Linked DNA regions of Arabidopsis thaliana. The protein of the gene in region 2 interacts with the protein of the main gene of each other region in a pairwise test. Each region holds a gene or a part of one and is shown on either strand. Other genes may lie near its edges. The genes, in order: AT1G63840, LBD38, BBX26 and TEM1.

Region 1 (7,976 bases), on a different chromosome or scaffold from region 2:
TCATTGTTCATTTTTTAATAAAGAAAAACGTCCAAACTCTTTTAATTTGGCTATAATTTATTTATTAAGTTGTATATATAGTTCAGCTAAACAAATTTATATCTTGTTTATAGACATGAAACAATTAATCTTATTTCAATAAAGTTAAAATAAAAAGAATTTAGTTAAAAAAATATCTAAACAAATATTTATATATTAGGACGAATTGAAAAAGTGAAGAAAGAAAGAAAGAATGAGGTGAATGGAAGGCACGTTAGTTTGCCTGCTAGAAGAGAAGGGGGAGGGAGACAATAGATTCGCTGCTTCAGTTCTTGTATTAGCTGTCTTTGTACTATTTCATGTTCTTGTATCAACTCTTTTTCTTTCTTTTAAAGATCTTTTACTGTCTCTTCTTATCTTACTTCTAAAATATACATCATATTCAGACTCAGAATTATAAATAAAAAATGATGACTGTGTTTGAAGTTTGAACACATCTACAACAAACATATTTGATCATTATTAATACTGTATGACTTGTGTTGTTTGCGACAGATCTCAGTGGAAACAAACAATTGTTAGTAATAGTATTATGGTTTTTTTTATATAACAATTGTTAGTATTAGATAATAAATAGATAAATTAGCATTCCATCTATTTATAAACATTTCCATTCTATTATTTTTATAAAAACATTTTTTTGTAAGTTATTACAAACAAAACTGATTCTCTAAAACATTAAAATATAAACAAAATGATTGTTTGTGAACTTCTTGCATTTTTTTCCTAATTCGTTTTTCACTGTTGGAAACTTTGTGTTACAAATATTTTAGATGTATGAGTAAAGTCCGCACCAACATACATCGTGTGTCGATACAGGCAAAGTGTACGGTCTGACATATACGGATAATAAAATATGTTTGTATAAATTGTTAGAAAGAGACGATCCATTATAAAAGGTAATTAAAATAATTTTATTCCTGTGGGAAAGGAAAAGAAAAAGGCCGCGTGGTCCAAGTCAGTCCTCATGACCAATCATTATTTAACATAGTATGATTTATTCATATTTAATATAAAAATTATTAGAGCTCAGATTTGTTTTAAAATTAGTAGTAGCTTAAAATTTAGGGGTTTTCAGAATTAGTCTGAACACCAAAAAAAAAAAAAAAAATTGGTTCTAATGTGGAATTGGTTGTATTGAATAAAGTTGATTGAGAAAGACACACAGTATATGCTAATTATGGTTTAGCTGGTTGTTTAAAATAATAGAGTGATTAGTTGGTCGCTTACTGACAAAACGACAGTGTCTGACTTGCAAAACTGGAATGAATTTTGTAGTTTTCCGTTGAATTAGCAGACAATTTTCAACTTAAAGATGTTTACTCTACTTTTTTTTTAATTTAAAGCAAAATTCTTGTAATGTTTTTTTTTATTGTATCCTCTTTCATATAATAATTTTTAAATCCTGTAACGAATAATTAAAGCAAAACATGTTGTCACTACAGTAATCCGTACATAACAAAAGCAAATATACAATTTTTATTAGGATAAATTAGGTATCTTTGATTTTAAAAAAACTATATTGAAATTATAAATATGCTTTCATTTTCAAATATAAAAATTCTCTAACGATAATTATACTGAGTAAGAATTACAAAAAATGATTTAACCCTTGAAAATAAGTGGAAATAAAAGTTTTAAAAATTAAAACGGAGAAAACTTAATACGAAAAAAATCTATAATCATTGAATAGTGACCTTCATATAAAAGACCGTAAAAAAAAAAAAAAATGCGTAACCTATATTCACGATAGTCCTTACTCTATTTAATTTCCACAGTAAAAAAAATCGTATAAACTATTTTTTGAGCATTGCTCTTGAGTAATACATTTAGGTTACCAAATCATATGAAAATATAATAGTTTCTCTCTAATTATTTTCTCAATATTCTTAATCTGATTTCGTATTTATATTAATTGTCCAGACTCCAGACAAAAGGGATGAATCATGGCTGGATTTAGCTGTCCTACCTGTTAATATATCTCTACTGTCTAGTAACGCCAAAACCTGACAGTTAGTGATATATATTAGACTAATTAGTTATTCCCTAACCCCTGTTTCCAATTATATTACTCACATATATACATGAGTTTGTGATAATTAAACTTGATCTACTTAAACGTAGGTGATAGACAAATAGCCTAATGTTTTTTGTTCTCTCGCATCTTTTACCAAATACCGTGTGGTGGATTCAAGTTCTCCATAGAACATTTTAAATGTTGACAAGACAAGAATCTATTGGATTAAACATACAAATGGGAAAATTTATCTATTGAAATGTTATTTAAGTTAGATAAATGCATCAACAAATTGACGTATATGTACTTAACTGATATATATATATATATATGTTAATGTGTATATATATATATATATATATATACTATGTTAATGTATATAGTTATAGTTGCAAAAGAAAAAAGAAAGTGTTAAATTTTGGAATGTGAAATGTTGGAGGAGAAGATGGAGAGAGTGTGAGGTGGGTCAGTGCTGCTTTTGGCTCTTTCATTACATTAGTCAGATTCCCATATGACATGAGACTTTCGCTCTTCCTCAGAAATAGATCCCTTAATATTGTATTCTAGAAGTATATTTGACATAACGGAATCAAAAGCCAAATTGAAGAGCTATGTGGACTTTTCTACGTAATTAATTTAGGTCTTAATATACTTAGTATACACTCTCAAAATGCTAGTAATTAATATAGCAAATGACGAATATGTAGATTGATGATAGTTCAACTAGTCATGTAATGATGTGAAGATACAAACATAATATGCATTTGAACTCAAATCCTATCAACCATAAGTAACATTTGGGTACCCATATTTATACCAAAACGTAACAGCCAATTAAAAAATCTGGTAAAATTTCATAGAAAACGACGTAATCGTGATACCTTTGTTTACTACTAATCTTGATACTTTATGATTTACATCCATGTGAAAATAAAATCATGTAGACCAAAAATTTCTCATACAAAAACATTAAAAATAGAAATAATGGTTTTGCAATATTTTGTTAAAACAGTTAATTTTTTTAAAAAAATACACACGTATATATTCATAGTTTATATACTTTATAGGCTTATAGCATAGTTCAATAGAGGTACAGACAAACTGAAAAGAAATGAACCTAACTATCTGTCTTCACCTCGATTATTTGTCGTCTGTCTGACTATTTTAATTTAATTCTAATAATTTATGAATGTGACTAGTTTGGCTTATAGGCAAAGATCAATTTTTAGAGTGGGGTTATTGAATATTGTATTCTAACGGAATTGTATGTATTTTCAAAGACACGGTGACATCCACTGTCATTCAATTTCTATTTGATTTTGTTACATTTGAGTTTCAATGTATTATTTTGTCTAAATCACGAGTAAAACAAATACGAGCCTTTTATCTCTGATTTTGATGTATTTCTCATAAAAATTATAAACAAAATAATTATTCCCAAAATTGTTTTATTTCTCTTTCATCTAACAAAGAGATAAAGAATCAGAAGCATTTTGAGAACAATATAATGGCGAAGAAACTGCAAGATCCACCGATGGCATCTTCAAAATGGAGCCTTCGGCTTTGGAGGAGGAAGATCGTATTTTAAGAACAGAAATTCGATCATTCATCCAGATCTGATCCCTTATGTTGCAGTTCCCACTCTCTTTTTTTCTTTTCTTTTTTGCCATTTATGATGCAGTGACTCTTTGAACATGAGTGAAGTTCAAAGAGAACTCAGTCAAAATCCATACCAATTAACGATTAACACATTACAACGTAATACATAAGTCGTGTATTGTAGTGACTTTGTCAAAATCCAAATTCAGTTACGCTAAAATACATTGAAAACATCAATCCAATAATTTTGAACCAAAGATTCAAATAAAAACACGATTTTTTTTATTTTGTAATCGAACGATTTTGAACCAAAGTATAGACTAATTAATATTTGGGATTTTTAGAAAAGTTTAATATATTTAAACCCTCATGGGTTAACCTAGGTATGAGTTTTTTTTTTTCATTTGTAATATGTTGATTATGTGTATTCTTGGGTGCTATAAGCAGAAGTTACATTTCTGTCTCCGTATACCGTATTAAAAATAATGTATACTCAATTGTAAATATCTTTGATTATGTCATTATGTATTTCATGTATACATGTCTTTTCTCCTAAAACTTTTATACCACTTCATAAATCAAGAATTGTAAGAAAGTTAAAATTAAATAAACAGAAATTTAGTGTTTAAATCTGATTTAAAATGGAAATTTGAAAGTAACGAGTTTATTATATAGTAAAATACATATAAGAAATTATTTAAAACCCTTATTTAAATTATATAGAAAAAAAAAAGGTCAAGTAGTCTTCTATTATTTACTAGTATAACCTCTAGAAACATCATCACCACATTCCTGGCTAATATCCTTCATCTAGAACAATTATTAACGAATCAAAATACCAAAAAACAAAGCACCTCATTGACTATTAAATTAGTACTAATACATTAATTAAGTTATTATTCCTATATATAAATCTCACCCATTCTCCACCTTATCATCACAATCCAAAACTCTCTCTCTCTCTCTCTCTCTGTCTCTTGTCTTATCATTTATCTCTCTAACGGCGAGGCAATGGGTTTTCCGGTGGGATATTCTGAGCTACTTCTCCCAAAAATCTTTTTCTACTTGTTATCTTTCTTAGGTTTGATACGTAAACTCATCTCCACAATGTTCAAGATCATTGGTCTACCAGATTTCTTAGAACCTGAACCGGTTTCAACCTCATGGCCCGACCCACCACCCACGTTGACCAAACCTGACTCAGCAGCAATACTAGCCGGAGAGATGTTACCGGTTGTTCGATTCTCGGATATAAACCGACCGGAATCCGAGTGTTGCGCAGTGTGTCTCTACGATTTCGAGAACGACGACGAGATCCGACGGCTGACGAATTGTCGACATATATTTCATCGGGGATGTTTGGACCGTTGGATGATGGGTTATAATCAGATGACGTGTCCACTTTGTCGTACACAGTTTATACCTGATCATCTTCAACTGGAGTTTAATCAAAGGCTCTGGTCTCAATCTTCTGCTGTTTCTTCTCAACTTCTTGATGAATCATCATCTTAGGACGTATTAAATCTTTGTCCAAACAAAAAAAAAAGACATATTAAATCCTTTTTTTTTGGTACTTTCATTGGGAATTGGGTTTGGTGTGAGATCGATGTAAATATTAAACAAAAAAAAAAAGGTAGTGGTTACAGGTTAATGAAAAAAGAAAGAAGAAGAAAATTTGTACTTATCCATCCCTGAAAGATGAAATTACATTTTGAGTTATTATAAAGTTGTAAACTTTTTTTTTTTGTTAAGGAAAAAAAAAATCATTTGCTATAACAGATTAATACTGAATGTGTTAGTTTTTTAGTACAGTATTTTAATAAACATTGTTTAGAAGTTATTTTTTAATTGTTACTTGTTCACCTGGCTAACTCAATGATACTGACATATTGTTTTTTGATTAAAGGCTTACATCAATGATATCTTTCTTTTATAATTTAAAATCAACAAGCATTATGCATAGGTCATTGAAGATAAGATTGTTTGTTCATCCCTATAACATGCTGAACTAATATATTTCAACATGTATTTGAGGGTATTTGAAATGTTCTATAAGTGGTAATAACAAAACTGAAGTCGGAAACCGATATGATTATTCCCCACAAGTGCTAACATCATGTATTTAGGTTCTCATCCGATGACATGTCTTGAAAGAAGCAAAAATTAATGGCGAAATCGTCATGAATATAGATATATCTTGGACATTGCATTTGACTTTTGTTTGATCACGTCTCTCACAAAGGAGCTTGGTGTGTCCTTTACGATTTATCATGTGATCTATTGTGACAATGCTGGAGCTATCTATCTATGGGATAATCATTTTGTTTCATTCTTGTTTGAAACATGTGGCACTTGACTATCATTTTATCCTAATCATGTTTTTCACTCCCGGTTTCTTATGTATTGTTCATATTTCGTCAAAAGATCAATTAGCAGATACATTCACCATATTTTTTGCTTACTATATTTTGCTACTTGTTTTGACAAAATAAGCTAACCTATATCTATCATTTATATTGAAGATAAGTATATAAGAGCTATCTAGTAAATATGTGTAATTTACACTTTTCTACTGAAACTAGAACTTTTACTTGTATATATATCCCAAGTTATGTTCTTTGTGTGGGAAAAAAAAAGTTAGGTTTCTTTGTATAAATATAGTTGTATCTCTATCATTAATCACTAAAAAATAATCTTTCGTCTATACAAGAGACCACAAATGAACTCTTAATCATTGGGAATTAGGACTTTTAAGAGCCAAACAAAAATAAATAAATAATCATTTGGAGTCTCGTAATAGAAAGAGTTGCAAAGTGGAATATGTAAAACTGGTTTGTGCAAAGGCGTGACGCGAGGAAGCTTCCCATGTGAATGTAAACTTTGGAGTATGTTATGCTGTCGCGGCGTGGCATACGTGGACTTGTCTGTGCGTGTGCTTATTTCTTTCAATACCCTAACTCAATAGAGCCCACACGTTTCTAATCATTTTTTGCTTTCCGTTTACCACATAAATTAAATTAAACCCTTTTGAACTATATAGTATATCGTTAAAATAACGTATAGTAAATTATGTTTAATCTTAACCATTTATTTTATTTTGACCATTTCATTATTACATGTGGTTTACCAGCCAGAACTTGCGCCATCTTATATGATGATTCAAAACATTGCTCACAATTATAAAAAAAAAACTATGATAGTTGTACAACTTATATTGAAATATAGAAGAGTAGTATGAGTAAACTATACATAAGTTTGATTTAAAAAATTGTGAATACAGTGATTTTTTTAAGCATATAGTGGGAGATATCGTTTTATAAACTGATATACAACTCTTCGAACATTTGTTGTGGTTGACCCACTTTGACTACAAAGCCTAAAGGCAATTCAAAAGATGGTATGAATGAATCATTAGCTCTATAGTTTATAGTTTTCGACATTTTCATTATACCTAGATATACCCTAAGCAACATTGCTCATCCTCGATGGTTCCACGTCCACCCTCGTGCGCCAATTGGAACAAAAACAATCGATAAATAAGTTAAAGTGAACATTGTACACATGTGTTACAAAGACAATTATGTTCCGAAAAAAGGAAAAAGCCTCCTCTGGTTTGCATTAACTAGCTTATTTAGCCTCTTTAATACCATCAACCTTTTGTATTATAAAAATGTTACCAAACACTTTTTGTTCATCAGGTAAGAGTTTATGCAAACAACTTTGATCATGAAAATTTCAGACTTTCAAATGATGTTTGCTATATGTAAGTTCTGATAGTATATCGATCCAAAAAGCCACTGACACCGAGTTTTATTTTTCCACAATTCTTACCTCTTGCTTGTAAATCCGGTTTGAGACTGTACTTAGATTCTTAACTGATTGAGATCAATGCAGAAGATTCTCACAAAATTAATCGGTTTGGTAATAAGTTCTAAACCAGAACCACACCGGTTTGCATATCTCATCCCTCCGTGTAGGATTTTGCGATTTCCAGAGAGAGAGAGAGAGAGTGAGACTGAGATTGAGATTGTAATAGCTGGATCATTATAAAAGTAGTTTGTGATTGTGAATTGAAACATTCGTCTGGTTTCGGATTTGATGGTATTGTGGAACAAAATTAATTAACTAGTTTTGTTTTGCTAAACTTGCTAAGTTTATAAATTGAGTTAACAAGTTAGGTAACTAATACATATGTTGTTCTTTTTCTTTACTTAAATACCAAAGTCAACAAACCAGTTGATGATAGCAAAAGCTTTTCAGACATAACCAGAGTACCAATACCTCAAAATAAATAAATCGCAGAAATAAGCAGAGGACAAAG
Region 2 (8,775 bases):
AGAAGAAGCACCACTTGATCACTTAGAGCCCACGTTCCCACTCTTAATCACCCAAAAAAAATTAAAACAAAGACGTGCTCACATCTCATCTCACTCCCTCACCAGCTCACTTCACTCTCTCTTTCTCTTTTTTTTTCTTTTTTTTATAATCATCTCTCTCAATTCTCAATCATCTTCTAATCAAAGATCACCACCATATGGCTCTCGACACTCTCAATTCTCCCACCTCCACCACCACAACCACCGCTCCTCCTCCTTTCCTCCGTTGCCTCGACGAAACCGAGCCCGAAAACCTCGAATCATGGACCAAAAGAAAACGTACAAAACGTCACCGTATAGATCAACCAAACCCTCCTCCTTCTGAAGAAGAGTATCTCGCTCTTTGCCTCCTTATGCTCGCTCGTGGCTCCTCCGATCATCACTCTCCACCGTCGGATCATCACTCTCTTTCTCCACTGTCCGATCATCAGAAAGATTACAAGTGTTCCGTCTGTGGCAAATCTTTCCCGTCTTACCAAGCGTTAGGTGGACACAAAACAAGTCACCGGAAACCGGTTAGTGTCGATGTTAATAATAGTAACGGAACCGTTACTAATAACGGAAATATTAGTAACGGTTTAGTTGGTCAAAGTGGGAAGACTCATAACTGCTCTATATGTTTTAAGTCGTTTCCCTCTGGTCAAGCATTGGGTGGTCACAAACGTTGTCACTATGATGGTGGTAACGGTAACAGTAACGGTGACAATAGCCACAAGTTTGACCTAAATTTACCGGCTGATCAAGTTAGTGATGAGACAATTGGAAAAAGTCAACTCTCCGGTGAAGAAACAAAGTCGGTGTTGTGATTATTATTATTTTTTACCGATCGGGATTAGCTAGTGGTTGATCATTAGCTGAGTCTGTAATGAAAATGATTGGAGTGGACTTTGGATTATTTTAATTTCTGTTTACGTATATGGAAAGAAAATAATCTTCAAATGTTTATTCGTTGTTGGTTTTTGTTTATAAAAAGTAAAAAAAAAAAAGGATATATTTGAAATTATTATTAATTTTGTTAATAATAAAAAGAATTGGATTAATGAAAATTGAAAACTACTATTTCATGGAAACTTCCTACTGTTGTTTTTCTTCATTACTTGATTAATTTTTCATTTACTATTTCCGCAAGCAAAGGAACCACTTCTTTGAATCTGTCACTCCCAGCTTGAAGTGATCTGTTCCTAAGAATTTAACTATTTGATTAAACATTTCAGATTTCTATTTAAAAACATAATTTGATAGGAGAAATAGTATTAATTTTGGGTTATGTTAGTATTAATTATTGAAGTAGTGATAGATCGGTTAGTAGTACCTAACGAAGCTAATCCTTAAGTGGCTTGTCGACTTTGATTGGTTGGCACTCACACTTCCCTCCACGCTTAAATTATTTTTATAATTCTGTATTATTTCGTTTTCACGAGTTTTACGAGTCTTTTAATAATTAATTAATTGTATAATTTGTTACGATAAATATCTTACACGTCTTAATCGATCCCAGTTCTTATGTATCTTCTAAGAAAAAGAGTAGTTATACATTCCGAGAAAAATATGGATATTGGGTATTTTCTGAATTAAATGCCGGGAAAATATTGTTTTTTTGGTGGCACAAAAAATTGACTTATAATTATTCTTTATAACTATATTGTAGTATCTGATGGTTAAGAATTTTTGGAATTATTTTAAGATTTGTTTTTTTCTTGTCAACCGATTTTTATTTAGAGTTCAGAAAACTCATCCCTTAAAAATGTTGTTTATATATGTGATATTATGCGGTTCGGTATAAACTTTTCGTCAAATTAAGATTTGGCTTTGAAAAGACAAAAGCAAAAATTTTAAATCTAAAATGGTGTGGGAAAAAATAATAATAATACCTTGCTAAATAAGACGGAAAATATGTCGTGCAGCTTACTGCTTATACTTACATCTTACATTACCTATTAGGCTATAACCTAATGCTTGTGTTATAAGTCTGTAAGATTTGGTCATTCATTCTCTTTGTACTATTGTCTTCTTATATTGCTAGAAACTTAGAAACTAAAGAATTTCACCAATTTTTGTGGGCATAGTATATAGCTTATTAGCTTGTAATAAGGCCTAATAAGGCCCTCGAGCGTTACAATAACATCCAAATTAGTTTTGGCATGGTACCGTTAAAGTGGTGTTAAACTATTAATTTACCAAAGACTCATTGTTTGGACTTTGGACCATACGAAAAATGCAGTAGAGCCCATAGTGACATAGTGTACCGGCTCTTATAGCTGAGAAATTATATCCCAATTAACAGCCCAGTATTTAATCATTTAGAACTCAACGTGAAAGAGGACATGTTAAAGCCCAACACAAGTCCATAGACTCATGAAATACAAGTCCACAAACCCACCTTATCTAACCATGTAATTAGGTTTTATAGCATAATATAATGAACATCAATGAATGTAAGTAGGAATGCAATTTGTGCAACCTCTATTTGACAATTTCTTTCATTTCTTCTCAATAGTTTACAAGTCTCATACATTGTTTTTGTTCTGTTTTCAAAGAAATAGTTTTGGTTTTTCTATTGTATGCAATATGACTTCCCACTGTACATCATAAACATTGAAGTATATATAATATTTTTTCTATTGTGTTCTGCCGTACGTCTAACTTATAATCTATTTTATAACATTGATTTTACTAAATATATAAAGGTAAAATCTATCTTGTTGCATTCACTTCAGAAAATAAATTTTTGGAAGAAGGGCCACAAAACAATACTAATTTTCAAAAATTGAGATTGAAATTATGTTATAAGATTGATATTTAAAATAGGAATACCGTTGTAAAAATAAGTAGTTGATTTATCGAACATCTAAGCATCTGTTTAACACCAATTTTATGTCGTTGTTGATCAAAACTGTCGCGTTCAAGTGTCTTGTGTCGACTAATTAAGCAAATGAACTTTAGGTACCAGAAGTTCAACGAAACAATAATGCATTTTTAAATTACTAATGGACTGAAGTAATTGGGAATAAAGAAATATAAAGAGACGGCGGCATTCAGTGGAAAATTTGCCTAATTGGAGTGTAGGTAAGCACACCACGTAAGCCATGAACGGCGCCGTTTCACCGCATTGCTATAGGAAAGTAGAAGAAGACACTTTGACTTATTAATATCATTTTGTTGTAGATCTTCTGTTCATCATATATTTGATTTTGTTACTAGCTAATGTAAAGGAGAAAAGAAATGTTTGATTTGGTCACACACGTGAGACAGCATCGTAGGCAAAAAAACGCCTCTATCTTTCTTCTAAAACATTTTTCATATTAAATTATCAAAACCCTTAAGGTTGATTTAAGGGTCAGGTAGTGGATTTGTTTCGTTGAAGGGTCAGCTTAGCCTTAACCCTAAACAAAACAATCTCATTGGTTTCATAAATAAATTGTTTACAAAGTATACGTACTGCATGAACGAATGAACCATATCTATATTTATAAAACTCATAGAGACCAATAGTTTAAGAGAGGCACTTATATAGCTCAACAAATAATAGCGAACTAGAGAGAATATGATCTAATTAGTTATAAATCTCAATTTTGAAATTGAAGTGCGTTATTTCATTTGAGAATCTATGTGTTTTTTTTGTTGTTGTTAGATGAGAAGCTAGGTTTTTTTCTTTTCTTTACACCGATAATCGATAATATATGTTAATCACACTGATTTTTGTTTGAGACATGAAGATTCGAAAAATTTGTCAACGAATAAACACTGGATAGATAGAATTGAGATCTGCCATCAAATAATCGAGATCGTTCATGCATGACGCAAACATTTATATAGAAATGAAGCAAGTAAAGAATATGAAAAAGAATAGAAATGAGAAATTTATAAAGAAAGAAAAAAAGAACCAATGGTTGAGGAGGCAACTATTCGCGGGGACACGGAGCCGTTCGCACCCATCACCTTGGAATCTCTCTTTCTTCCTCTCTCCTCATCACCAACTAGTCAACAACCACACACCATTTTTAACTTTCATAATTAAACCTAACATAACATTTTTTTTTGTATAAACTATAGCATAAATTAAATTCAGTTAATGATAAAATAAATATATTTTGTAGCAATCATTCTATTTTGTAATTTGGTAGGGCTCTTTAAACTTTGATTATTATCCAATTTTTATTAAAATATAATAAAATCTCAAAGCCATGACCCATTCCTTCACTCAAGTATCAATGTCTATTGTCTATAAATATTACATAACTCTTCTTCTTCAACCAAACATTGAAACACTTTGTCCCACTCTCTCTCTTTCTCTTTCTTGTACCAAAAGCTTTTTGAATCTCCAAGATTATAGCAAAACCAAAGATAAAATACTAACTTAAAAGATTTCTGAAAATAATGAGTTGCAATGGTTGTCGAGTTCTACGAAAAGGTTGCAGTGAGAATTGCATCCTCCGTCCATGTATTCAATGGATCGAATCACCTGAAGCTCAAGGCCACGCCACCGTCTTCGTCGCTAAGTTCTTCGGCCGTGCCGGTTTAATGTCTTTCATCTCCGCCGTACCGGAATCTCAATGCCCTGGTACTTAAAAACAAAAACCTCTCGGTCCTTTAGATCTTCGTCTAAACGTTGTCGTTTTGGTTTCTGATGGTAAGGGTATTTGGTCTTTTTACAGCTTTGTTTCAGTCTTTGCTATACGAAGCTTGTGGGAGAACTGTGAATCCGGTGAACGGAGCCGTCGGATTGTTGTGGACGGGGAATTGGAATGTTTGTCAAGCGGCGGTTGAGACGGTGCTTCGTGGTGGTTCTTTAAAACCAATACCGGAGCTTCTTAACGGCGGTGGATTCGCCGGGTTTCCGTCTCCTACTTCCGACGAAGCTTCGGAGATCTGTACGGAAATGTTGAATCTACGAAAAGCTGATGATTCCGGTGATCGGAACATTTATCATCACTGCCGATTCTCAAGCTCTAGATCTAGATCAAGATCAACAGCTTCTCCGCCGAAACGGAAACGATTATCGTCGGAACAACAACCTTCGTCGGAGCTTGATCTCTCTCTTATTCCTATTTATCCGATTAAAACCTTGCCGTTTAAGGAAGATACACCGTCGATGTACTCGGAGGAGTCTGTTACCACGGTTTCGTTTCAAAACAACAACGCCGGTGATCGGTACGTACGCTGCGGCGGAGGAGGAGGAGGAGCAACGACAAAGTTGCTCAATCTCTTCGCTTGAACGGCGTCGTTTTTGTTATGAGGGTTAAAAATGTAATTTCGAGTAACTTTTTGTTGTGGCCTTTTTTGGATTAATAGCCCTTAATATTTTGTGAAATGTAGCAAATTACGTGATTTATTTCTCTCTTTAATTATGAGAAATTATCCAAAGTAATAGAGAATAATGATATAATTCGTCGGTGGTGTACTATTTTATTTTTAGTTCATAATCAATTAATCATCATTCTCATCGAATTCAAATTAAAAGATAACAATGATAATGTGTACGATAAATCAATACTTATTAGCTACTAAATTATTTGTTTTTATCGACATATTCAACATTAATAATAATAATCACGAATCGGAGTCAAAATATACATCTCTCCAAATCCAAAGCACCGGCAAAGTCTTCGCACCCAACATATTTCGATTCTTTAAGGACCAACATGTTGTAATGTACACACAATCATACACAACTTGCTATTTTGATAATCATCTTGATTACTACTCGCAAAACAAAATATTAGCATTTATTATCTCCAGGTTTATTGTCTTTCGATACTACATTTGTTATTCAATGGTTTAATGATACCTAGTAATAGTATAACACAATAGTACGTATTCCTCGAGATGTGATGATCTTTTTGTGATATCTCAAATTATCCTATACTAGTACTGCAACGGTCTTCTTCGCAACACTCTCAATGGCATATGTACATCTTCATGTGTTTCTTTCTATGTTTAAGATTAGTCTACCACACATTCTCCGGATGAATACAAACTCTAAAAAAGATTAAACAAGGTGCATTACATAATATAAGTAATTGTATGTATAGAGTAGATATGCATTATATAATGCATGTAGTTGGGTTGAACCCAAAAAGTTGGGGTTATAAAGGGAAAGCTTTTGGGGGAGGCGGCTTTTGGACGACGCAAAGAGCCGTTTATGTCACACTTCATACCTTCGTGGAATCTTCAAAAGCACTCTTTTTTTATTGTTCTTCTATTCTTCTTCACATTTTGTTTAATAAAAACAACAAGGTATTGTTGCTCTATGGATGATGGCGTAGAAACAATGAAATTGACCAATAACATGTTTGCTTTTGAAACGTTGAAATGAGAATGGATTGTTGTTGGAACAGAAGAAGTGATTTGAAGATCTTATGAAGTGGGACATATTTTAAATATACTTTCGACCAGCCAGTCACTAGTGGGCAAACAATTGCTTGTGGTCCACGTCACTCTCCTTTCCTTTTCCGACCACCGGACTCTTTATGTTATTTTTGAAAAATATAAGTTTTTAGTTCTGACCATTTCAAGTTTTATCAACAACCGGGTATCATCATTCGTTCAATCTCGTCTGTTTTTTACATCTAATTAGTGTCTAATCATGAGTTACAAAATTTATGGAGCTAAATTTCTTTTTCTACTTTTAAACTATGGAGCTAACTATACTAGACGAATTCGCTTTTTAAAAATTTGGGGAATACAATATAACAATATGGATGGATAAACATGAATCCATCAAGTATAATGAGAATAAAATAACATTAGCAAGATTCGTGTTTAATGCCAAAAGCCACGAGCAGCCGCAGTTTCTTATGGGCCCAATACTTTCATCACCTTCTCCACTTAAGTCGGTGTGTGTGAGTCCACTTGATGTTTTCTTAAACTTTTCTTCCGAAAACGAACAAAACTTTAGTTAATTATTTGTCTTTGGTATGAATGTCAAGAAAATGGTAGTTAAATTAGTAAGGAATAACTAAACTTAAATAATCAAGTTGAAAATTAAAACCCTAGGTCTCACATGATTATGAAACATTTACTACTTTGTGTATTCCAAAAAACATGGTGATCAATAAAAAAATTTGAAGGTGAAAACAAAACGACGTGGATTATCAAATGATCACAAGAAAACTAGTCAATCTAAATAGAATATCAAATAACGACAAAAAAATAGAATATCAAATAATTAATTAAGACCATCAAAATCAAGTTGGTATTCATAATGATTCTGGATAAAATACAGAATTAAGTAAGTGATTTTTTTTGGATATATATATATATATATATATGATTTTTTTTTGGTGTGTTAATTCATAATGATTCTGGATAAAATACAGAATTAAGTAAGTGATTTGTTTTTGGATATATATATATATATATATGATTTTTTTTTTGGTGTGTTATATATATATGAATGATAATAGTAAAGTAATATTTTCTCATTATTTCAATTTTTATTTTTGCAAAAGTTATATATACATGATTATCTGACTCTCAAATAAAACAAAAACTAGGGTTAGCTGAATATTAGCTACCAAATAACATTTTATCAACCGGTAAACACACATTAGACCATAACATCTTGATATGTAACCGTACATAGTTCTTGATGAATTTTTTCGTACATTACTATACAAAGTGATATATTAATTTTCTGAAACTCAAAAAACGTTATGCTTAAAGCTGCATATATTGTAACCAAAGACTTTTTAATAAATTTTACATTACAATGATTCAAAAAAAGAAAAAAAAGTGATATATTAATTTCTACAACACATATTTGGAAATTTTTGTAACTGAATGTCATCATGTCCCGATTATCCCCAGAGATTTTGTATATGAACCTCTTTAAAAAACAATCTCAATTGTTTGTTTCTTGCTTTTAGTTTTCTCAAGTCTTTTGCTATTCAAGAGTTTATCGAATAAGTTTCTTGTGGATCAATATCACTATCTAATTTCTAACGATTGATTTTGTTATTAATATAGATGATCATAAGACTTAGCTTGGTCTACATTTTTTGTGGTTCTTAGGGTTTTGTGTGATCATTCTTCGAGTAAGGTGAGGACCCAAGAGCCATCTTGCCCCTTCAAATCTTTTGTTGGCCGTACATTCATTTACACTTAATTAGGATATTCTTTTCTTAAAGCAAAAATAGAGTTTAACAAATAAAATATAAAAATAAGATAACTCTAGTCTTTGATCTTTATCGACTCTTCTAATGTCGGATTGATTCAAGTTTTATAGTATGATTATTAATGAGAACGTCACTAAGATAATCAAGTGCTAATCATAATCCTTTGCGAAGGCTGTTTTTTGTAAATTTAAACGAGACTTTGGAGGAGCTAGAAAGGATCAGTGTTGAAGATTTGGGAGAGATCGCGACAAGGACGTGAAATGGATGCGACACGTGACTTTCACGTGACTGGTTCCCTCATCGCTGGAACACATAATCCACTCTTTCACCTATTGGGTCCTACAATAGCTTCTTATCTTTGACTAAATCATTTTTCATGTTGTAATAAGTAACTAGAAGATGTGCATATACGATACGAATTAGAGAATACATACGTCCTGATAAAAATAGAATATATATATATATATATACCGACAAATTAATCATTTTGTATTCTTGGAAAAATTATTTCTTCTGCTCACCTAACATTATTAACCACTCAATAACCGTTAATATAGTTTGTCAATTCTCATTGAGCTGAATAACTAGTTAAATACATAGTCTCTAAATGTGTATAGTG
Region 3 (7,516 bases), on a different chromosome or scaffold from region 2:
TACTTTGTTTCTTCGTCACACAAATATTATCTCTAGTAGCAGTACAAGAGAAAGAGCATTAGAAATGGAACAGTTTTTTGCTCTGTTTACCATTTTTCTATCTTTTGCTTTCCCCGGGAGATGCAGCGACGTTTTCAGCAGATCTGATTTCCCCGAGGGATTCCTCTTCGGAGCTGGCACTTCTGCTTATCAGGTTTGGAATCAATTCCTAAGCTTTTTTTTTTTTTGGAATTTTTGAACCAAATGTTTGATCTCTGCAAGTGGGAAGGAGCTGCTGCGGAAGATGGAAGGAAACCTAGCGTGTGGGACACTCTTTGTTACTCTCGTAAGCTTTCATTTTAACATAAACTGTTATTAGCATCAGTATTTGAACAGATATATTTAGAAACAGAGATTAGTTGTTGCCTTTGAATTATTTATGCTTCTGATCAATTTTTTCGTTTCTAACTTTTCAGGTAACATTGGTAACGGAGATGTAACATGTGATGGGTATCACAAGTATAAGGTTCTTTCTCTTTTCTGCTTTACTCTCTCCTTGTGACTACTACTACATTATATAGTTTATTCATCAAGCCTGACTTCATTGTGACTTTGTAGGAAGATGTGAAGCTGATGGTAGACACTAACTTAGATGCCTTCAGATTCTCTATATCTTGGTCTAGGCTAATACCTAGTAAGCCTTCTTAAACATTTATGCCGGTTTTGTTTCACTTGAAGGGATCAACTTTATAATTAGCTCTTATCTCATTAGATGGAAGAGGCTCTGTTAACCAAAAGGGTCTACAGTTCTACAAGAACCTCATCAGCGAATTAATAACCCATGGGATTGAACCACATGTTACACTGTATCACTACGATCATCCTCAGTATCTTGAGGATGAATATGGAGGATGGGTCAACAATATGATGATGTAGGCTAAGAAAAAACAACATTAATTAAATCTCTTTTACAGATTTTCTAGGACAGTATTATGTGAAACTAAATTTGGTGTTATTTGGCATTGTAGCAAAGACTTCACTGCTTATGTAGATGTTTGTTTCAGAGAGTTTGGGAACTATGTCAAATTCTGGACCACTATCAATGAGGCTAATGTATTTACTATTGGAGGTTACAACGATGGGGATACACCGCCTGGTCGTTGTTCTTTACCGGGCAAAAACTGCTTGTTAGGGAACTCTTCTACTGAAACATATATTGTAGGCCATAACTTACTTCTTGCGCACGCCTCTGCTTCAAGACTATATAAGCAAAAGTACAAGGTATACTTGCTTATACATAACCCTCTTTTGAATGTATAAGAAGCAACATACTATATACAATGTGCAGGATAAGCAGGGTGGTTCCATAGGCTTTGGCTTATATTTAATGGGGTTGACTCCTTCTACAAGCTCCAAGGATGATGCCATTGCAACTCAAAGAGCCAAAGATTTCTATTTCGGTTGGTGAGTCAGGCACAAACAGTTCTAAAAGGTTTTTCAAATTGGGCAACATGTGCAAGATCTTAAGCTGAAAAGAAAGAAAATCTGCTCTTTAAAACTCAGGTTCCTTGGACCTCTTATATTTGGAGACTATCCAGATACAATGAAAAGAACCATTGGATCAAGACTGCCAGTTTTCTCAGAGGAAGAATCAGAACAAGTTAAAGGCTCATCTGACTTCATAGGAATCAATCATTAGTTTGCGGCTTCTGTCACAAACATCAAATTCAAACCTTCTATTTCTGGAAACCCGGACTTCTACTCAGACATGGGCGCATATGTGACTTGTATGAATCAGACTCATTCTTTTGTATAACAAAAAAAAAACCTCTTTTATCTTTATAATTTGTTACTACTCATTTTTTCTTCGTTTTACTGGTTAGAAGACCTTGGGAATTTTTCAGTTATAGAGGTAAGAGTTTTAAGGCTACCAAATTCAGATACAAAACACCTTATATTCCTTGACATTATAAGTCTTTAAACAAATAAGTGCTACTAATCTATCTTTCATTGTTTGTTTTGTTTTTGTTTGGACAAGTATCCTGTTGCTCCGTGGACTATGGAAGCTGTCCTAGAGTATATAAAGCAGAGCTATGACAATCCTCCTGTCTACATTCTTGAGAATGGTCAATCTCTTCTATGATTAATTTATTCGTCTCTCCCTCATGTTTTTGATTTGGACTTAAAATGTCATATACAAACAGGTACACCGATGACGCAACACAAGGATACACATAGGGTGGAATACATGAATGCTTACATTGGTGGTGTGCTCAAATCCATAAGGTAAGTAAAGTTTTTTTATTGCATCTTTTCTTCTCTTATCTTGTTCGTGTAATTAAGGAAAAGGACATTGCTACGTGTAGGAATGGATCAGACACTAGAGGCTATTTTGTATGGTCATTTATGGATTTATTCGAGCTTATAGGGCGGTACGATTATGGTTATGGATTGTACTCTGTAAATTTCAGTGATCCACATCGCAAGAGATCTCCTAGACTCTCTGCTCATTGGTACTCTGATTTTCTCAAGGGCAAAACTTCTTTTCTTGATTCCAAAGGCATCAAGGAATTGCAGAGCAACTTCTCTTCTTCCTCTTAGTACTGTGATGAAATAACTCTTATGTTCTACTGAATTTAGACTACTTGTCATGAGAGCCACTTCTTTTTTTCTATAAATTCTAAATTAAACTAGTTTAGTAACTTTACACGACAAAATAATGAGAAATCACAGATGCTGAATACAAGAATTGCCCGTTTTTAAATGCTAAAAAGAAATTCGTACCCAGGCCTAAGCATGACATCAAGTTCAAGCTAGCATTGTATCAAAAAACCATATTACAGAACCATACAAACACTTGAATAGTTAGTAACTCTTAGCAAAGTTGTTTTTTACACAAAAGCATGCTAATCCGCATCAAAAAAGAGACACAAAAGAGCAGCTTCAAATTCATATACCATCCATTGTTAAGGCTGCATTTCCACATTAAAAAGAACAAAAGCGCAGCTTCCTACCTACATGTGAAAATCATAACAAAGACTGATCAGAAACTTAAGTATGTAAGTACTAAGCTAACAATCTAAACTCTAAAGCAAAATAGTTATACAAAAAAAAAAAACTCATTAATTTACCTGTTTGTCCCCCGTTTGGTTATGTTGATAAAGTTGGGATATTTTTTTCTTCAAAAAAAAAAGATTTCTACATCAAAATTTAAGAAACGACATTATTCTTACTGATCTTTAAGATCCGATAAAAGGAAAAAAAAAAACTTTATTCTTAACAAAAAAATGAGAAACAAGGATCAATTTTTCAAATATCATATAATTATCTTTTTTCTTTCTTATTCTCAATTAATAAATGTAATGTTGAATTTTGAGAATAATTTATAGTTAAAGATAAGTATATAACTTAGTAAAATATATCCTTCTACATAATCAGTTTGTTAAAAAAAAATCTACAAATTAGAAACTCCATCTAAATACGAGCTTCACAGATTGTTTCACAGAGAAAACAAAACTTTGGCTTCCTTCTCTCCTTGGTTCGTGTAAGTTGAATGTTTTTTTTTATTTTAAATTCGTGTTTCTTCTCTTCCGTTTTGCGAAGTTGATAATTTTGTTATAATCTTATATGAATATTTTTCAGGAAACATGGCTCAAGTTTGTCACACATGTAGACATGTAACAGCCGTGATCCATTGTGTTACAGAAGCTCTTAACTTCTGCCTTACATGTGACAACCTTCGCCATCATAATAACATACATGCAGAACACGTACGTTACCAACTTTGCGATAACTGCTCGATGTATCCGTCTATACTTTTCTGTTATGAGGACGGGATGGTTCTTTGTCAATCATGTTATTCGCACCATTACAATTGTGCCACTAATGGCCATCAAACTCAAGTCGTCTTCGCTAACATGAATAATCAACACCATGATCATGCACATATGCCTCATGTGGTTCACCATAACAATAACAATAATCATCAGCAGCAGCATGTGGGTGGTCACCAAAGAAGAGCAGAGATGTTTGAGAGGAGCTGCCACGGGGATAACAATTGCGAGAGATGGATGTTTGCAATGAGATGTGAGTTATGCGTAGCTTCGAATTCAAATGCTGTTGTTTATTGTCCTACACACAACCAGATTCTATGCGATAGTTGCGACCGGATGATTCACAGTCACGAGGACGCGGTGCCGCCGCATTCGAGGTGTAAGCTTTGCGTAATCTGCAAGAGACCTTCTCGCCGTTTTCTCATTGGCGGCTATCAGTTTAATTTCCCACCGGTTCATCCTCCTGCGGCAGAGGGGATTCCAGTTACGCCCCCAACAGAACTACCTCAACAAGATATTAATTATGATTATCTAGATGATGTTGATGATTTTTCTTGGTTTGGTAGGTGAATAGAAAATCGTCTTCTTTAGCTTTTTATTTATGTGTGTTTCTTAGAGTTTTCGTTAGGGGTTTAATTCTTGGTGTTATAATTGCTTCTGGATTTGAAAAAGAAAAGAAGAAGAAAAAAAAAACAATCAGTTGGATTTAATATGTTAGAAGAAAATAAAATGTCAAAACTAACTCCAATTTGTTCGAGGATGGAAGATATCATATCTTGATGTATGTATATCTCATCATTTAACTAGAAACTATCTAGAAACCACAATTACCGAAAAAACATAAAACAATTTTGCTAAAATGTTAAGAACACAAATTAATTTGATTAACAATCGATGCTTAAGGGGTTTATAGGAATTAAATAATATTTTTTTTTCAACAATAAAATTAAATTTCACTTTGCGATTTTAATTTTATTTAAGAAAGTCAAGAACCAACTCCAATATTTCCGGGGATGTGATTTTCTCAATAAAATCGTCTAATTATCTTGATTTTTGATGTTGTTGTTGTACTTTACGTGAATATCTCACAATTAGTAAGCAGAGTAGAAGATTTTGATTAGTATGACGACAAAAAATAGTACAAATAAAATTTACATGACCTTTTTTGTGTTAAAAAAAGTTACATGATGTTCTGCAAGAAAATATGCTTGTATAATAAATAATTTTTATTAATATTTTATTTCTGACTATTTTCTTCAATAAGAGAAAACATAGTCATTTTGTAAAAGGAAAGAACGAAATAAAAATGCAAATTCTTCACGTTTTGTTAAATAGATCTAATTTAGTTCTTATTTAAGAACTTAATATTACATCTTTAAACCAAAGTAAAATATACAAATATTGACAACTATCGGTCTAATTATTTCAATAAGCAAAGATTATAGAATAATTTCGTTAAGTGTATATATCGAAGAGAAAAAAACAAAGGACAAATCGGTCAATTCACTAATTTGATATAAACGGTACCAACAGATGACGAAGCGCCTCTCTATATATAGAGTACCTTCTTTCCCAAGAAACACTATCATCTTCATATTTTACATCTTCCGTTTCTTGTTTCTCTCCCTTCATCAATCATCATCAGCATTTTCCTTAAATCTTCTTCTTCTAAGAGATCTTAGTTTCACTGAAGAACGAAGATGATGAAGTCAAGACGTGAACAATCAATCGAAGAAGCAATCGTCGCAAATTATTTGAAGATGATGATCGATAACGTAAACGTTTGGCCTCGCCACTTCCTCCGAAGCGAAGACGTGTACTGCAAGAATCCGTGGACGCTTTTCGTTACTAGAGATCCTATAATCCTACACTTCGGACGATACTTCTTCGTTAATCGGAGTGTGAATTCAGGTTTAACCGATGGATGTGAATACGGTTGTTGGAGAATCATCGGTCGTGATAGAGTGATCAAGTCGGTGACGACCGGGAAGATTCTAGGGTTAAAGAAGGTTTATAAGTTCTGTGAAACTGATCGGAAACCGAAATCGGTTTTTAAGTTCTTGGAAAAGGAGAAGAGAAGAGTAAGAGATAGACGAATCTGGGCGATGGAAGAGTATAGGTTTGCAAGTACGTGGAAACAAGATTACGTGATCTGCAAGATTCGACGTCTGTATCCACAACCATTTGACTACATGTTGGCCCAGCACATTCGAGGTTACTATAAATGAATCACTGATATTCTGATCCTGGATTTGAACACTCGATTACTGTTTTTGGTGTCACGTTATTGAACCCGTTGTTTGGGAATTTTCATGTATTCTCATTATCCAGTTTCTTGATTTCTCTCATTCATCTTTGTTCAATCTTTTTGTTTGTTTGGGGCAAATCGTCTCTGTACAATCTTTATGTTACTAGAATTGAAAAGAAAGATTGGTGGAATCGTTTTAAAACTGTGGCATCTTTAAGTGTTATTTTTGGTTATGCAATTGCGTTGATTTTGTAAAGAAATATTTAGATGTAGGGTGATTGGTCGGTGGATTTGTTATCGAGTTCCAAATTTGGAATTCTTCTAAGATTAGATTTCTCTATCCAAAGGCATAATTTTCTTTTATACATTGATACTATTGCTAATTTGCTCTCAAACATGATTCTCAATTGACCTAACAAAAAATATATATACAGTACTAAATGTAGACATTACCTACGATTAAATAATTTTATTGTTGCGTTTACACAAAAAAAAAATTGTTGTTGCTATCTTAAATATACTGCAATATTCCAAATTTAGTTTGCGAAAAAAGGAGATATCACAAAATGATAAATAAATCAAAGTGTAATCAAAGACTTCAAAAATAGATTTCATTGTACATTTGAAACATAAGCAAAAAATACATTTTCTTGATATACTCAACTAAAATTCTACAATGTCTTAACTCTCAATAACTGTTTATAATCTTAAGTTAAATGCTTCTATTTACAAAACGAAAACGATAAGTAGAAAATTCCATCAAATAATGAATCTTCAAAAAAAATATACACCATGAAAAAGTAAAGAAAGATTCACAAATAAAAAATGGTTTCTGATAAGTCTACAAAAGTAGCTTTAATATCACCCATATCGAAGTTAAATTTCTATTACGTACGAAATGCAATGTGTATATTTTGAGTATATACAAAAATGGTTCATGTACTTTTATGAAAATTGAAAACTAGCTGGGTGTTATACAAAAAAAAAAAAAAGAGCAATTTTGTGTCTAAATATTAAAGGGATAATAAAAATTCAATTTTGTGATTGGTCGTATGTCGACGACAATGAGGCGTCTTGGAATCATCACTCTCACCAATTCCGCCGCCGTCGTCACTCCGTCGCTACTCTCTTCAACGGCAGCTTTCCCCGGAACCCTAACTTTACCCTCTCCCCTCCTCAGCGACCGTCTTACCAATTCAATTCTCTTTCACGAATCCAGAAGCCTCTCCTTCTCTTGCTTCTCTTCTTCTTCTTCTTCTTCAGCAGCTTATCTTCCTTCACTAGAAGAGTACCCATCAGCTAAAGGTGACTACTTTTGTTTAACCACTGTTTCAACTTCGGATTTTGAGTTAAAGTTTGCTGAGGAATGTAGTAATTATCTATCTTTAAGGTTCTGTGAAGAGAGATGATAACCAGAAGGTGGTCTTGAAGGGTATGACTTATGCTTCGCTCCAAG
Region 4 (8,523 bases), on a different chromosome or scaffold from region 2:
AAATTTAATTACGTGATTTTGGTCGTGCTATATATATTTACCAGTGAAAATCAAAATTTCATTACTCAAACTTATTAAGATCTAGAGGGGTTGGAAGTCAGAAAAGCAGATATTATAACATTTAATAACACATTTTCATTCAAGTAAAAAAAAAATTAGTAACAAACCATGGAACCCTAAATGTGGAAATTATTGAAAATTAGTTTTGGTTTTGTTTAGTTAGTGGAAACTGGAGATTGATTAATATAATGGGGTTGTTTACTCATGATTTACTTTGCACAAACGAAAATTTTCGTTCCCCTTAGTCCTTACCTACTGTCTGTTTTGAAATTTCCGCATTTGACAAAAGTTATATGTGATTGAGTTTCATTAGAATAACTCAATAGATACTTTTATATATGAAAATATACTTTTATACTTAATTATGTTAATAATGACTATCTCTCTAACTGGAAAATGGAAACTATACAGGATTAATATGTTAGCAAGAGGAACATACATTCATTATATTAAGCATGATACTTTATGAACAACTAACTTTTTTTTGTTGATCACATGGAACAACTAACTTTATCTAAACAATATTATACAATATTATATATATATAGGTCAATTATATCATAAAAGTTGGCCAAAAGATGGCTTTAGTATGCGCCTAAACCCATCATACTGTATTATGAAAAAACTGTTCCGGCAACTAGTATTTTTTTTGTTGCAAAAGACATTTCGCCAACAGTTCGTCATTTTAATTGATATAAATGGTTGAAATTTGTTCAAGAGGAGAAAAAAAAAGGAGGTCAATTGACTTAATTAGTACCATAAAAATCTGCAAAAATGATCAATTAATTGCAAATAAAATTGCAATTGATTTTTTTTGTAAAACTTCCCCATAATTAATTAATCCGTCAAAACACATCACAACATCACAGTTAGAATTATAAAATGGCATAGTATAAGGAGCTGATTTGATCGGGAATTAAAACTATAAATACATCAATTAGGTCTGCAATAATGATTTTTAAAAATTAGGTTTCCAGTGAGTTGGTTATATACTTATATAAATAGCATGCTTAATATCACGTTTTTTATTTATAATTAAGAAAATGTGGGGAGCCACACACTAAATGATTTAATACAACTTAATTAGTTTTGGTAAGGTGGCCTAAGTTAGGCCATGTTATTAAATTACTACTCCACTGGATTTGAGTTGATTTGTTTGGCCAACCTGATTATCCCCAATACAAAAATACTCTCATGTTATTATAGACTGATATATCTGTGAGTAATGTATATATTATTCTCTTGATTATACCAAAATGGAAGATAAGAATCTAAAATGAACGACTGAGATGGAACTGTAATATTACTAAAAATAGGATGAAGTTTGGGTCCAGATAGAAGAAATTATGAGGAGGATGGTGCTGAGTGCTGACCTTTTCGTCCTTGGAAACATATCTCACTCGTTGTCTTCCCACTTGCAATATTGCATGGCCCAATTCTTCAATGAAACGACACCGTTTCCAGTTACACCAAACCCTTCTCAACTAATTTATGTTATGTGGCAATCTTGCATGTTAATTACATGTATTCAACACATGAGTCTATCTATCTTCCGATTAATTTTCCACCAAAAGTGATATAACTTTTGATAATAATTGAGACGGACCAACATTGTATTTTTAGGCAAACGCAAATTACTGTTTAATCGAAATTTTAGATAAAGTAAGGTAAGATCAGACCAAAAAAACAAAGAGCCTACTATTATAAAGTTTCGACATAAGAAGGTCAATGATGTGGATGATATAACCAATTGCAAGTTAATGAGACGTGATACATAAATTTCCTTAAATCTAAACTTGTATCCGGTGGTACTAGATTTAAAATATCCTTATAAAGTTCGTTGATATATACATACACACCAAACTCATTTTAGCTTGTTGTTGTTTGATAAAGATCCAAGATAATATGAAATCACTTTTTAAAAATTAATCTATTTAATGTCACACATCAACTATTTTATCTTTCCATTTCAGAATTTTGATTTTTTTCGGTAGAATATAATGGAGCTCTGATGAGTATGTGACCCACTAATCAAATGGTTCATTGACTAGCTCGGTTTTAAGCTTTAAGTCCTTGAGATCATTATCTTCAACAGAAGACTTATAAATACTATTTTATTTGAGGAAATGATAGGGTTATTCAACAAGTATATATATGCTCATCTTTTAAAAAGGGGATAAGTATTACTTTTGTTTCAAACAAAATGGATAAACATCTGAGGGAAGAAGGTAGGACCAATATAAAAGTGGAAAAATTAGGTACTCTGCTCCGTACAAGAATATGGCTCATGGGCAAAATACATTGGGTTTATGATTCATCTCCCCCCTTCACATATGTACAATGTATTATATCATGTTGTTCTTCTTGTCCCCATTCTTGATATCTTAAATATTTAAGTCCAATTCATATAATTGAGCAATAATTATGTTTGAACTCATTAGTTATTGCTTATGAAAACTGATCAAAACAACAAAAAGTTGACGTTTTAAGTTTTGCATTCAAACTAGGGCAACTGTGTTAGTTTTATCTTCGACGACGTGGATATAAGTTTTTTAAAATTATGTAGGTATAATAAATTAAATAGAAAGAAAAAAACTATATAATGAAACAAAAGAGAAACAGAGGAGAGTTTGATGGTTTAGGACGAATCTGGTTTATTTAGTTCAGCCAATAAAAGCATAGTTCCAATGCAAGTGGGAACATCAACTAAGTCTCACTACTTTTTAAAATAGTCGAATAAATCTGCATGCAGTACTTTGTTATGCGTATATAATATCAAATAGTAGTACAATTTGATAAAAATGTTATATGTTTAATTTGGTGGATCATAGAAGGATTAATTTTTATGATCAAATAACGAAGCCACGAAGAACTAAATCTGACCGTTTGATGCTTATTCGAGAACTATAACAATATTAGGACGTCATTCATGTATCTTTATTAAAAATATGTGATCTTAAACAAAGCTTCGTGCATAGATAAGAAGGGACTAGTCACTCTAATAAGATCAATAAGATATGTTGTTTCTCTTTGTAAACCGAAAATAGTGGGCAATTAGATCACGAGTCTTGGCTTTGCTGGCGTATTCCAACGTTGTCTTATCATTATCTCAAAATATTATTATAGGTCGTCTCATTTCATACCCGTCAAAATAATAGTTGTTCTTATATGTTTCGAACAAGTCACTTTAGGAATTAGGATGGAAAACATATCCTATTTGAGTGGTATTGGTTAATTTGAGAAATTGAGCGTAAAGGAAGACAATGCGTAAGAAAGGCAACAATACGTACTATGATTCTACGTACAAAGAAAGTGCTTAGGGGATAAAAACCAAACTAGGTAAGGACTTGTAGGAAACATAAGAGAACCTAATGATCAAGACCTCCCCAACTAAAGCAAAATATGTAAAGAGACACGTCATGTTCCAAATATGGAAGGACGAATATAGTTTCAAGAAAAGCCTCATGATCAAAGGGGGGATGCACTATTTAATTAGAGAATCACAACAAAACAAAACAAAAGGTCCAAATCTCATGTGAACCCCCTTCCCACTTGGCCCTCTATTCTATCCCCATTTGTGCTATTACACATCGCCCATTACTCATTTTTCTATCTCTCAACGAGTCAACTCTATTCAATAATTTTACATATCTTTCTACTACTATTCTTGTATGGACCATTCGATTTTTGGAAACTTCTTTTCTCTTAAAAAAACATCAATAATATCGGGCGAAATGTCAAATGTGGTTTTTCTTAGCCCTATTTACCATTCTTAACCACATCAAGAATCTCATTGCTAGTGTTGTAATTATTCTTTGTCCTTTAGTGAAAACATTAAGAAAAATTCATCTATTGATGTTCACGTTCTCTGTAAATTTTTTATAGACGCATGTTACACGTAATATATTATTAGTTTATTACCATATGAAGGGACTAATTATGGCAACAACAAGATTATAAAAAAAGGACTAATCAAAAGGTACCAAAATTAGTACGAATGTAATAAATAAAATAAAACTTTATGACACTAGCACACATATTTTTGGACTCTTCCCACGAAACTTCCTCTACAAAACACATTTTGCCATTTGTTGCAAGACTTGACCCTACTCCTCTGCACCTCTTCTCCTTTCTCTTTTATTTTATTTTCACCTTTCTTTCATAAATACACATACATTACCCACATTTTACATTTATCTCTTATTATCCTATTCAATTTTGACAAAACAAAACAAATAATATCAACAACGTACATGCACTTCCTTGTGTATATATATAAACTCCAAACCCCATCTCTTCATAAAGCAACAAAAACTTAACCCATTTCTTCTTCTTTTTTTGTTTCTCTCTCACAAACACAACAAATATGGAATACAGCTGTGTAGACGACAGTAGTACAACGTCAGAATCTCTCTCCATCTCTACTACTCCAAAGCCGACAACGACGACGGAGAAGAAACTCTCTTCTCCGCCGGCGACGTCGATGCGTCTCTACAGAATGGGAAGCGGCGGAAGCAGCGTCGTTTTGGATTCAGAGAACGGCGTCGAGACCGAGTCACGTAAGCTTCCTTCGTCGAAATATAAAGGCGTTGTGCCTCAGCCTAACGGAAGATGGGGAGCTCAGATTTACGAGAAGCATCAGCGAGTTTGGCTCGGTACTTTCAACGAGGAAGAAGAAGCTGCGTCTTCTTACGACATCGCCGTGAGGAGATTCCGCGGCCGCGACGCCGTCACTAACTTCAAATCTCAAGTTGATGGAAACGACGCCGAATCGGCTTTTCTTGACGCTCATTCTAAAGCTGAGATCGTGGATATGTTGAGGAAACACACTTACGCCGATGAGTTTGAGCAGAGTAGACGGAAGTTTGTTAACGGCGACGGAAAACGCTCTGGGTTGGAGACGGCGACGTACGGAAACGACGCTGTTTTGAGAGCGCGTGAGGTTTTGTTCGAGAAGACTGTTACGCCGAGCGACGTCGGGAAGCTGAACCGTTTAGTGATACCGAAACAACACGCGGAGAAGCATTTTCCGTTACCGGCGATGACGACGGCGATGGGGATGAATCCGTCTCCGACGAAAGGCGTTTTGATTAACTTGGAAGATAGAACAGGGAAAGTGTGGCGGTTCCGTTACAGTTACTGGAACAGCAGTCAAAGTTACGTGTTGACCAAGGGCTGGAGCCGGTTCGTTAAAGAGAAGAATCTTCGAGCCGGTGATGTGGTTTGTTTCGAGAGATCAACCGGACCAGACCGGCAATTGTATATCCACTGGAAAGTCCGGTCTAGTCCGGTTCAGACTGTGGTTAGGCTATTCGGAGTCAACATTTTCAATGTGAGTAACGAGAAACCAAACGACGTCGCAGTAGAGTGTGTTGGCAAGAAGAGATCTCGGGAAGATGATTTGTTTTCGTTAGGGTGTTCCAAGAAGCAGGCGATTATCAACATCTTGTGACAAATTCTTTTTTTTTGGTTTTTTTTCTTCAATTTGTTTCTCCTTTTTCAATATTTTGTATTGAAATGACAAGTTGTAAATTAGGACAAGACAAGAAAAAATGACAACTAGACAAAATAGTTTTTGTTTACATCTAATTTAGGATCTGTTTTTTCACCCTTTCCTGAAATATGATATGTGTTCTCCTCCTTAATCTAATAATCTTGTTTAATCTTTGGTTTATAGCCAACTTTATAGCATATTTTTCCAATTGAAATAGAGTTGTTATGAGTATATAATCCCACACTAATATTTATGCATTTACTTTCATATATACATAATATACATTATTGGAGAAAAATATCTTATACGATCTATAAGAATAGTATAATTAAATGTCAACATGTCCAATTAAAACATGGGTGCGATTCGAAAATCTATTTATGTGGTTGAGATGCTTAAGCGGAGAACAACGTCGATCGTTCAAAGATTTTGTACGTTTCTTAAACTAAGTTTAAAAACTGTTTTTTCGTGTACGATTTTGGGGAAAAACACTGACCAAAATAATTAAGAACATGCACGGAATCTAGATTACGATTTTAGAACCATTGTTATGTTTAATAGAAATACATCTCGAAGTTGATAATTATTTTTCTTATGCCTTAAGATTCATGCATCTTATTTATTTCACGAAGTATAGTTGTGTTTAAAAAGAATCAATTAGATCTTAAAGGCTACACATGATGTATGTGGACACTCGCATATAAGTTCATATATTGTTTTTATCATGACAATAACCACAACTTTTTGTTTCTCAATCATTTAATTACTTACGAGACATGCATTGGCAAGATATTTATATTCACTGGAGTAATGTTGAAATTTAGTAAATAAAATGTACATAAATGTATTTTCAGAATAACAAAAAGAAAACAAAATCAAAAGATCATTTGTTTATGAATTTATTATCGTCAACATATATTTAGTACTAGTTACTAAAACTAAACATAATTTTGATAAAAATTAATCCTTATAACAAAAAACGTAAATAGCTAATGATTTTTCTGATTAAACATGAAAACATGGTTAAATGTTCTAAAACTAGTGTAATCCCTTACATTTAGTTGTTGAATATTGCTCTCAATTCTCATGACTTGGAGCCCATGATGTACAAAAAGCCCATGCTCATTTAAAAGCCGAACGTTTGTTGATTTTCTAATGTTAGCGAACTTGAAACCTAAAACTTGTGGGTTATGGTACCACTTGAGATGACACATATAATATAAGCCCAACTCATGTTAGTTAAATTGTGACTCATTTAGACGTCTTTTCTTGGGCCAAATTTTACAATAAACATCAAAATAAGATTTGTAGAAACATTCTGAATTTCTGAGAGTGACAAAATAAAAAAAAAATACTTGGCCTTATGGAATCTGAAAGAAGCAAAAGCCTTCAAATATTTCGAGATATGTGTTCATCGCTCGAACAGTACAAGTATTTTATTTTCTTGTATACTTTTGATTGAACCATTAGGCAGTAGATGTGCATTAAATTTTCAACGTAATTTTGACTATAAATGTACGCAGTAGCTCCACTTCAACAGAAACTAAGTAAGACGTACATGTTTGTCCGTCATGCATATAACTAGTTCTCGTTAGTATTTACATTAGCTTTTGTATTAGCAAACTTTGCATGATGAGATATTGTAATTTAGGTGGTTGATGGCGTTGGAATGATTTCTCATTGGAACGTTTTTCAACTTTCTTCACTTGACATTTATTTTCTACTATATATATATATATAACTTTTTTTTGAGTTCGCAACATCTCAAAATTAATTTGCTTTTAATAAGAGAAATATAAACTGGTATAAAGAACGATGTAACAAATGAAATGAGTATTAAAAATTTCTTCTTTTTACAAGAATCAATTTTTATGTTTTAGTTTCTCAATATATAGTCCATATTTTTGGTCACACTAACATGAATTTTTTCAATTAATAAATTAGAGTGTCAAAAAACTTCACCGAATTCTTACACAATTTGTTTTTTTAGCAAAATGCATGCTATCGGTAAAAAAAATCGGTGAAGTTTTTTTTTGCTATTTTTGCCATTTTTCAATAGTAACTTTTCCATTTGACGTTAACCTGACTAAATAATTTTAGATAAGTTAATTCTAAATCAAAGGAACCGAATCCATCATAATTGACCTAGACTATGACAGACATCGTATAACTAATTAAATAGACTAGAATCCCAAGCTAATGAATAATGATATGCCACATCTCAGCAAAGTCTAAGAGCAAAAGATGAATGCATTAACGTAATTTAGAATCCATTGACTCGCCCTAGTGACTAGTATTTTTATTTTATTTTATTTTGGGACAAAATCCCTAGTGACTAGTATAAGATACGAATACACACCAAAAAAAAGTATAAGATACGAATAAACAAAGTTTATGCTATTATTTTTGTCGCAATTTGCTTGGTTTACTAAGGGAAAGGCTGACAATCTTGTCTACATTTTGGAAGAAAAGATTCAAATTTAAACCAAAAAATATCTAATATCAAAACATATCTTCTTCATAAATAAATAGGTGATGGTTAGCTGTATTTGAGGTAAAGGGAGGGCCACTTGGCCTTTAGGAGAAGGTAAGGGTCAGCAGCTTTGTTAATCCAACCTCTTTTTAGAGAGGTGTTTAACGCAATTTCAAGATATTTGAATCCGATGATATTTATCTCCTGATTACATGGATCACTGTCTTTGTATTTCAAGATATCCGTTTGAAAATAGTAGGCGTTACATGTATTCGTTTATAAAAAGTAAGAAGTATTTTCTGAAATTGTAATTTATTGAAAAAATCACAGTACGTTACTACGTTTCATAGAATACCCATGAACATTTTTGATATAGTAATGTAGTATATGTTCAACAAGTCATTAACATTGGTGATGACTTGTATTATTGATATATATGGTGGGGTAATGAATAATATAATGAAATAATGGTGAGCTGAACAAAAATATTGTGAAA

The links.
Region 1: the proteins of LBD38 (region 2) and AT1G63840 interact in a two-hybrid assay, tested with the Arabidopsis thaliana proteins (one large-scale study listed by BioGRID).
Region 3: the proteins of LBD38 (region 2) and BBX26 interact in a two-hybrid assay, tested with the Arabidopsis thaliana proteins (one large-scale study listed by BioGRID).
Region 4: the proteins of LBD38 (region 2) and TEM1 interact in a two-hybrid assay, tested with the Arabidopsis thaliana proteins (one large-scale study listed by BioGRID).

Annotation. Positions count from the first base shown.
Region 1 is NC_003070.9:23,687,182-23,695,157, reverse strand, and holds AT1G63840 (RING/U-box superfamily protein), read left to right. Parts: upstream 1-4,350; 5' UTR 4,351-4,666; coding exon 4,667-5,167; 3' UTR 5,168-5,555; downstream 5,556-7,976.
Region 2 is NC_003074.8:18,510,049-18,518,823, forward strand, and holds LBD38 (LOB domain-containing protein 38), read left to right. Parts: upstream 1-4,217; 5' UTR 4,218-4,416; coding exon 4,417-4,600; intron 4,601-4,694; coding exon 4,695-5,254; 3' UTR 5,255-6,083; downstream 6,084-8,775. Other genes in the region: AT3G49930 (C2H2 and C2HC zinc fingers superfamily protein), read left to right, coding at 198-845.
Region 3 is NC_003070.9:22,213,943-22,221,458, reverse strand, and holds BBX26 (B-box zinc finger family protein), read left to right. Parts: upstream 1-3,626; coding exon 3,627-4,382; downstream 4,383-7,516. Other genes in the region: AT1G60240 (NAC (No Apical Meristem) domain transcriptional regulator superfamily protein), read left to right, coding at 5,513-6,040; AT1G60230 (Radical SAM superfamily protein), read left to right, coding at 7,113-7,365, 7,451-7,515.
Region 4 is NC_003070.9:8,978,880-8,987,402, reverse strand, and holds TEM1 (AP2/B3 transcription factor family protein), read left to right. Parts: upstream 1-4,088; 5' UTR 4,089-4,426; coding exon 4,427-5,512; 3' UTR 5,513-5,847; downstream 5,848-8,523. UniProt on the Arabidopsis thaliana protein: Transcriptional repressor of flowering time on long day plants. Acts directly on FT expression by binding 5'-CAACA-3' and 5'-CACCTG-3 sequences. Functionally redundant with TEM2.